Xenopus tropicalis: one gene and its partner. Each later gene encodes a partner of the first gene's protein in a complex. Links are inferred from orthologs where the notes say so. Each region holds a gene or a part of one and is shown in the gene's direction. Other genes may lie near its edges. The genes, in order: ncapd2 and ncaph.

Region 1 (3,820 bases):
AAGCGATTGATGTCATTAGTAAAATGATGTATGAAACTGCTGTGTCAGGTAATGCATAAACTACTATAGAAGTTTGTTCTAAACTTGTACCATAATGGATATCCTATACGGGAAAGCAGCAACTGATAACTACCGTGTTTACTGTGTGTGGGAATCTGTTATAACATGGCAGATATCTGGTCATTTTTAACCAAAATTGCCAAATCCTGTTAACTTTTTGCTTTTAACCCACTCGTTTCTGTGTCTTTTGTATCTTAGTGGTGCAGGAAGTCATTGAGTTCTTTGTGACCGTGTCCCAGTTTGGAGTCTCCCAAGCTCTGCTTGGCGTACGTCGCATGCTACCCCTGGTCTGGTCCAAAGAGCCAGGAGTTCGCGAGGCTGTACTTAGTGCCTATCGACGATTGTACCTCACCTCGAATGGGGAGTCGGAGAGGTAACTGCTTTGTTTTGCCTTTCTCCAACACATAATGGATGGTGCATTTTTTTTTTAATATGGCTAAATATAGGGGGCCTCAATATTTTTTGCATGAACTGAAGGTCCTCAATGTCCTTCTGGTTTGTGCTTTAGTGCAGGGTGATACGTATGCTGGCATAGTTACAGGCTGTGCAAACAATTTAATAGGGTCCTTGCTGCAGGTATGCCTGTGGAATCCATAGTTATCCCCCCTATTCATGCCATTTCATGCCCCTTTGCCTACCTTTTTTTAAAGGACATCCTTTTTATAGTCTAGCGTAGGATTCTCATAAGATCTGATTGGGATGTGGCTGCTAGTTTGAGATTAATATAGTTTGGCAAGAGTAATCCTACAATTTCAGACAGTAACACTATAGAAGTAGGGCAGTATGGTAAATATATTCACCTATGGTCACCTCTTAATCTCCAACAAATACAAAGGGAAATAAGTGTATAGTGGCACTTTTACAAGGTATTGGCTCTTCAGTGCAGTATTTGTTTCTGTCCATGCAAGCAGGCTGTGACTAAACAGACCAGCATGCATTCTGCCCATTTTGATGATCCCTTTGCAAGATATAGATAATCAAAATGCTTTTAAGACCCCTATTACATAGTTACGTAGTTACATAGGGTTGAAAAAAGACCAGTGTCCATCAAGTTGAACCCATCCAAGTAAACCCAGCACACCTAACCCACACCTACCAATCTATACACTCACATACATAAACTATATATACAACCACTAGTACTAACTGTAGGTATTAGTAACACAATAGCCTTGGATATTCTGCTTGATCAAGAACTCATCCAGGCCCCTCTTAAAGGCATTAACAGAGTCTGCCATTACCCCATCTCTAGGAAGGGCATTCCCCAACCTCACTGCCCTCACTGTGAAAAACCACCTACGCTGCTTCAAATGGAAGCTCTGTTCCTCTAATCTAAAGGGGTGACCTCTGGTGCGCTGATTGTTTTTATGGGAAAAAAGAACATCCCCCAACTGCCTATAATCCCCTCTAATGTACTTGTACAGAGTAATCATGTCCCCTCGCAAGCGCCTCTTTTCCAGAGAGAACAACCCCAACCTCGACAGTCTCACCTCATAGTTTAACCCTTCCATCCCCTTTACCAGTTTAGTTGCAGTCTCTGCACTCTCTCCAGCTCATTAATATCCTTCTTAAGGACTGGAGCCCAAAACTGCACTGCATACTCAAGGTGAGACCTATTGATCGTTTGACGTTTTCCTTACATATTTCTTGGTACAGGTATGGGACCTACTATCCACAATGCTCGGGACCTGGGGTTTTCTGGATAAGGGATCTTTCTGTAATTTGGATCTCCATAACTTAAGTCTGCTAAAAATCATTTAAATATTGAATAAACCCAATAGGCTTGTTCTGCCTCCAATAAGGATTAATTCTATCTTAGTTGGGATCAAGTACAAGGTACTGTTTTATTATTACAGGGAAAAAGGAAATCATTTTTAAAAATTAGAATTATTTGCTTGTAATGGAGTCTATGGGAAATGGCCTTTGTGTAATTTGGAACTTTCTGGATAATGGGTTTCCGGATAAGGGATCCCATACCTGTACTAGTTTTGGCCCCCTGAAGAGTTGCCCACCCCTCCCAGAAAAGCAGTGCTTTGTGATTGTGAAGTTTATTGCTTCTTGTTTCACCTTTTTTATAGGGTTAAAGCTCAGGCCTTGGTTCGGAATCTCTCTCTGCTCATGGTAGATTCCTCCGCAGGAATATTGCAGTGCCTGGAGGAAATTGTGAGTACTTAATCCATCCAGGAATGTCTGGCAAGAGCGCTACACCTTGAGCATACAGCTAGATTGCACTTTTATTGCAATAAATTAACACCTCTGTGCATTTGGCTCATACCTGCCATTATACATCTGTCCCATATCCAATTTGGGCATAAACTATAAAAACCTGTAGTGCAACAGTTATTTTTTCACTCATTTGTTTATATGGACAGATTGTTGGTGGTAAACAGCTGTGTACTTGCTAGAACTTACAAAGCACATTTCACTATTATTGTGCCTAACTTGTTGCTTTAATCTTAGGTCTCAGAATTTATACAGAAAGGAGATATACACCCTACTGTAATACAGTTACTTTGGGAAAAGTTTACCCAGAAGTCTCCTTCCTCTGCCTTGGAGCGAAGGGCAGCAATTATGCTGCTGGGCATGATGACAAAGTAAGATATTGAGAAATACAGACTTTATTATTATTATTATTATACTCTAACCAACATCTAAATCCATTTAGTTCTCCATATTAGGGTCTCTTCCATATTAATGTCTCTGGGCTTTACCCTTAAAGTTTTGATGCCTTTGCTTTGTGCTGCCTTACAAGGAGTATCCTATGCTACTTCCCGCTTTGTATGTGGCTTTGTCTCCTTATCACAAATTGTTCCTTCAGTATATTAATGGCTGTCTGTTTTAACATGATGCTGTCTTTCTTTGCTCTGTTAGGGGGCAACCAGAGATTGTAATGAGCAACCTGGACACTCTGGTGACTGTGGGACTTGGGGAACAAGTGCAGGAGGATTATCAGTTGGCTCAGGAAGTGTGTAACTGCATTCTAAAGATCACAGACAGCCAAAAGGTAAGATGGGGGGGGATGCAAGGTGTTTCCATTTACTTGGCATTTTCATTGGTACTTAATGGAGACTGTTTGCTTTAATATCTTGCAGCCATCTCTGGGCAAGAGCACCGAGCCTTTCCGGCTCCCAAAAGATCACTCTCTATTTGTGCATCTGACAGAGGCTGTTGCCGGAGGTAAGTGTACAGTGTCGGTGCTTCCTCAGTTGTACAAGCCTCTGGGTTGTCAGGGTTATTCTATAGACTGTTATATATTAAAACCATTTTCTTTGTATGTGTTAATTTTTGCCTTTAGGAAGTATTTGCCCGATGCTTTTATATAACCTGTCTGATTCCCCCCCCATGTTCCTCTGAGGGGACGGCCATATTTGTGCAGCAGGAGCCCATTAGCATTAGAAGCTATAACTGCCAGGCTGAGAAGGGACAGCCTATTCTAAACATCTTTCCAGTTGGTCTTCATTTTTTTTCTTGTCATTTTTGTTCTCTGCCTTTTTCTTCTAACTCTTTGGAGCTTTCAGATGGGGGTCTAAACCTATTGCTTATTGATGCTACAGTTTCTTGGGTTTTTTTATTGTTCCTTTTTTATAACTTGATTTTCTATTCAGGTCTTGTCCTATTCATATACCATCCTCTCATTCATACTGCTCCCTGGTTGCTAAGGTAATTTGTACCCTAGCAACCAGGTGCCAGCTGCTGCACAAAAAGTGAAAACTAAACCTACAAATAATAACATAATAACAAATGAAGATACTTCACTACT
Region 2 (3,820 bases), on another chromosome or scaffold:
GTTAATGGACAAGTTTAAAAAGAGTGACCACGTCTTTGACATAAATGCAGAGGTAGAGGATGACTTTGCAGAGTCAGAAGCCCCGGTAGCTGATGATTTTGATGCAGATGTTTGTGATGGGATGGATGCTGGAGATATCAGAGAGTTTGCTGAGCATCGTGAGGCTTGCAGGTCGGAACGAAAAAGGTATGTTCATTTTTATTATTAATGATAGAGATTATTGGTAATTTGTGTTCCTTGAATTTTCTAAAGAGGCAAATATTAATCTCAACCAGCTCTCTTTATAGACCACAACTAACTCAAATTGGAAATGGTGACATTGGTACCATGTGCCTCCAACTGTCTTCGTGTCCAGGGGAGTATTCCTATTTCAGCCCCCGTACCATGTCCATGTGGGCAGGCCCCGAGCATTGGCGTTTCCGTCCCCGTCAGAAAGGTAGGTGTGTTTTACTTTTTTTTTCTACCGCAGATGAACTCGGAGCACCACTTATTAACGATTTGCTGTTGTGCCTATAGCCAGCACAGACTCGGACCAACAGAAGGTCAAGAAGGCAAAGAAAGTATTTGAATTAAATTTTGAAGATGACGTTGACTTTGAAGTTCATTTTCGAAAAACCAGAGTGAGTGATCACTTGACAATATTTTAAGAGACTTCTCCCCTCTCATCTACTTGATCTCTTTATCTAGTAATGTGTGTTTCTTCTTTTAAATACATTTTTACTAGTTTTGCACAAATTCCATAATACATAAAATTGATAAAAAGTCAATTGACTAAATCCTGGATTTAGAGATGTTTAGAAATTATCAAGGGCAGCATTTGCCGGGTTTCCATTGTAGACAACATACATGATAATTGTAGCCTGCCCTTTAGAAGTTATATGGACTAATTTCAATAGTATCTGCACGATGTGCAGCAGTATTCACCTGCTTGTCCAGTATCATATTCCCAAACCAATTATATGTCCTGATACTTTTGTACATATCATATATATATTGCTCACACAAACAGACAAGCCTGTTTAATTAGAAAGTTATTGATCTAGCCAACCTTCACATCTAGGTTCTGTTTTAAGACTATTTTCTCTCCCAATAGCTTGGGGGACACAGGGACAATGGGTATAGCTCCACCTGCAGGAGGCAGGACACTAGGTAGGAAATTAAAAAAAAAAAGAGACTCCTCCCTCTCCAGCTATACCCCACGGCGCAGCCTCTATAGCTTCAGTTTTTTCTCCTAGTGTCAGGAGGTAGGACCAGGCTCACTGCCTGCACCTAGGTCAGAAAGTCCAGGATTAGCCTGGACACTTGGGGGGGTTGATCTAGACCTCATCTGTAGGTTCCATTCAGATCCCCCCTCCACCGCTGGATACTCCTTGGGGCCGATAAGTCGCTGCGGCGCTGGCCACCTAGCAGCATTCCTACCCTCGCCAGGGGGATAGATGGCTAGCCAAGGGAGCACCCACCTGGGGGGCAGATCCGGGCCGCAGCGGTAAGTAAGCGCTTACTACAGCAGCGCTGATGGTACTCCCATCCCCCCCCTACCGTCCACCGGGCCTTTCCTATCCCGAAGCGCCGGGGGCCCCCACTTCCGCATTTGAAATGGGCGCGCACAGGCCTGCGCTCCCATTGGCCAACACTTCCTGCTCCGCCGTCGCGCTCCCTCCGTCATACCGCCCGCCCACCAGCGCTTTCTCCTTCGCGCCGTTTCTCACCAGTTCTCTGGCGCAGCTCCTGGGGAGAACACGCATCGCGGCGCAGGGACTCTGCAGCGGTATCGCTCTACCTGTAGGTAGGCTGACTCCCTTTTCCACTTGCTTATCCCTGCAGCGCAGTCTCTCCTGGGGCACTATTGGGGGCAAATATGGCGGAGGGCAGCAAGCAGCTATTCCCTCGGGGCCCAGCCTCTTTGGCTAATATTAAGTTCCTGGCCTGTGCCAATTGCAAAAAGCGCCTGCCCACTGGGCATAAGGAACCCCTTTGTGAGGTTTGCAGACCTTCTGAAACTGCCTCTGCAGCCCCTCAGCCCTTGGCCTTGGATCATTCTGAGCCCTCAGGTTCTGGTGCCCCTCTGCCACCAGACCAGGTTCCCACAGGCCCAGCTGCCACTAATCAGCTTGCCCCTGACTGGGCCCTCCAACTTTCTAGCGGTATTCCCAGACTAGCGGATTCCCTTAACAAGCTATTGGCAAAGCTAGACGCTACTAAACCTACTGCACATAAGCGTCATGCACCTCCTTCATCTGATGAGGAGAGCGACACTCCATTTACGGCTAATTCACCACTTCAACCAGAAGCATCTTTAAGTGAGGGTGAGCTTTCTGGTGATTCGGATATGTTGGGCGAAGACCTGCCCAAGTCATCTTCAGAGGAAATTGAGGCCCTCATCACCTCTGTCATAGATACCCTCAATCTAGGGGATTCCTCTAATTCTGCTGACGCCTCTAAGCTCCTTTTCAAGAGGCAAAAGAAACAATCCGTATGCTTTCCCTCACACGCACAGCTAGATAATATTGTGCAATCTGAATGGGATAACCCTGAGAGGCGATCTCAGTCCAACAAACGTTTCCAGCGTCTCTATCCCTTCCCGCAGGAAACCATAGATACCTGGTCTTCCCCTCCAGTCGTCGATGCTCCGGTGTCGCGCCTCTCCAAAAACACGGCCCTTCCTGTCCCTGATGCGTCCTCCTTCAAGGACGCAATGGACAAAAAATTGGAGGGGTTCTTGCGCTCGGCCTTCTCCGCTTCTGGGACAGCCTTGCGCCCTACCTTCGCCGCCGCTTGGGTAAGCAGGGCAACCCAGTCCTGGACCCAAACTCTCCTGGACAGCATTCTGTCGGGAGTTCCCAGACAGGAACTCGTCCCCATGGTGTCCCAGATCAAAGAGGCTAACTCCTTTATCTGCGAAGCAACCCTTGATGCCGCCCAATTAACCTCTAGGGCCTCGGCCCTTACAGTGGCCGCTCGCAGATCTCTTTGGCTCAAACTTTGGTCTGCAGACCTTTCTTCCAAAAAATCCTTAACTTCCCTCCCCTTCAAGGGTAAGTTACTCTTCGGTACAGAATTGGACAAGATCATCAGCCAGGCCACAGGCGGGAAGAGCACCTTCCTCCCACAGAACAAGTCCCGGCCTTCCTTTCGCAGGGGGAGATTTTTTCGTGGCTCCGGATACAGATCCTCCAAGCCATCCGATTCCTCCCAATCTTCATCCTCCCGAGGCAAATTCAACAACAAGCCTCGCTCCGCCTGGCAGACCCGGAAACCCACTCACAAACAGACGGACAAGTCCACTTCTGCATGACTACCCGTCCGTCTCCTTGCTGCAAGCCCCAGTAGGGGGGCGGTTGCAGCTCTTCCGTGCTCAGTGGCAGACTTATGCCCAGGACTCCTGGGTTTGCGAGGTCATAACACGAGGTTACCACCTCGAATTCACAGCCCCCCCTCCTCACCGCTTCTTCATGTCCAGAACCCCCGGGGACCCTCGCCTCCTCCAGGCTTTTCAGACGGCAATCCAAGACCTACAGGCTGCCGCAGTAATATCCCCAGTACCTCCGGCCGAGAGATTTCAGGGATACTATTCCAATCTTTTCCTCGTTCCCAAGAAGGACGGGTCCTTCCGACCGATTCTCGACCTCAAAGGCATAAACAAATTTATTCGCTACACCAAGTTCAAAATGGAATCTCTGCGCTCAGTCATCGCGGCCATGGGCCCTCAGGAATTCCTCACCGCACTGGACGTGAAAGATGCCTATCTTCACGTCCCCATCTCCCCTCGCCATCAGAGATACTTGCGCTTTGCCTACCGCAACCTACACTTCCAGTTCAT

Evidence for each region.
Region 2: ncapd2 (region 1) and ncaph share a complex: the UniProt entries of both Homo sapiens proteins name them as parts of the condensin complex. The link is inferred for Xenopus tropicalis from reciprocal best matches to the Homo sapiens genes NCAPD2 and NCAPH.

What each region holds. Positions count from the first base shown.
Region 1 is NC_030683.2:9,986,976-9,990,795, forward strand, and holds part of ncapd2 (condensin complex subunit 1), read left to right. Parts: coding exon 1-48; intron 49-258; coding exon 259-433; intron 434-2,138; coding exon 2,139-2,223; intron 2,224-2,520; coding exon 2,521-2,654; intron 2,655-2,931; coding exon 2,932-3,064; intron 3,065-3,152; coding exon 3,153-3,237; intron 3,238-3,820. UniProt on the Homo sapiens protein: Regulatory subunit of the condensin complex, a complex required for conversion of interphase chromatin into mitotic-like condense chromosomes.
Region 2 is NC_030679.2:125,124,165-125,127,984, forward strand, and holds part of ncaph (condensin complex subunit 2), read left to right. Parts: coding exon 1-186; intron 187-275; coding exon 276-436; intron 437-516; coding exon 517-620; intron 621-3,820. UniProt on the Homo sapiens protein: Regulatory subunit of the condensin complex, a complex required for conversion of interphase chromatin into mitotic-like condense chromosomes.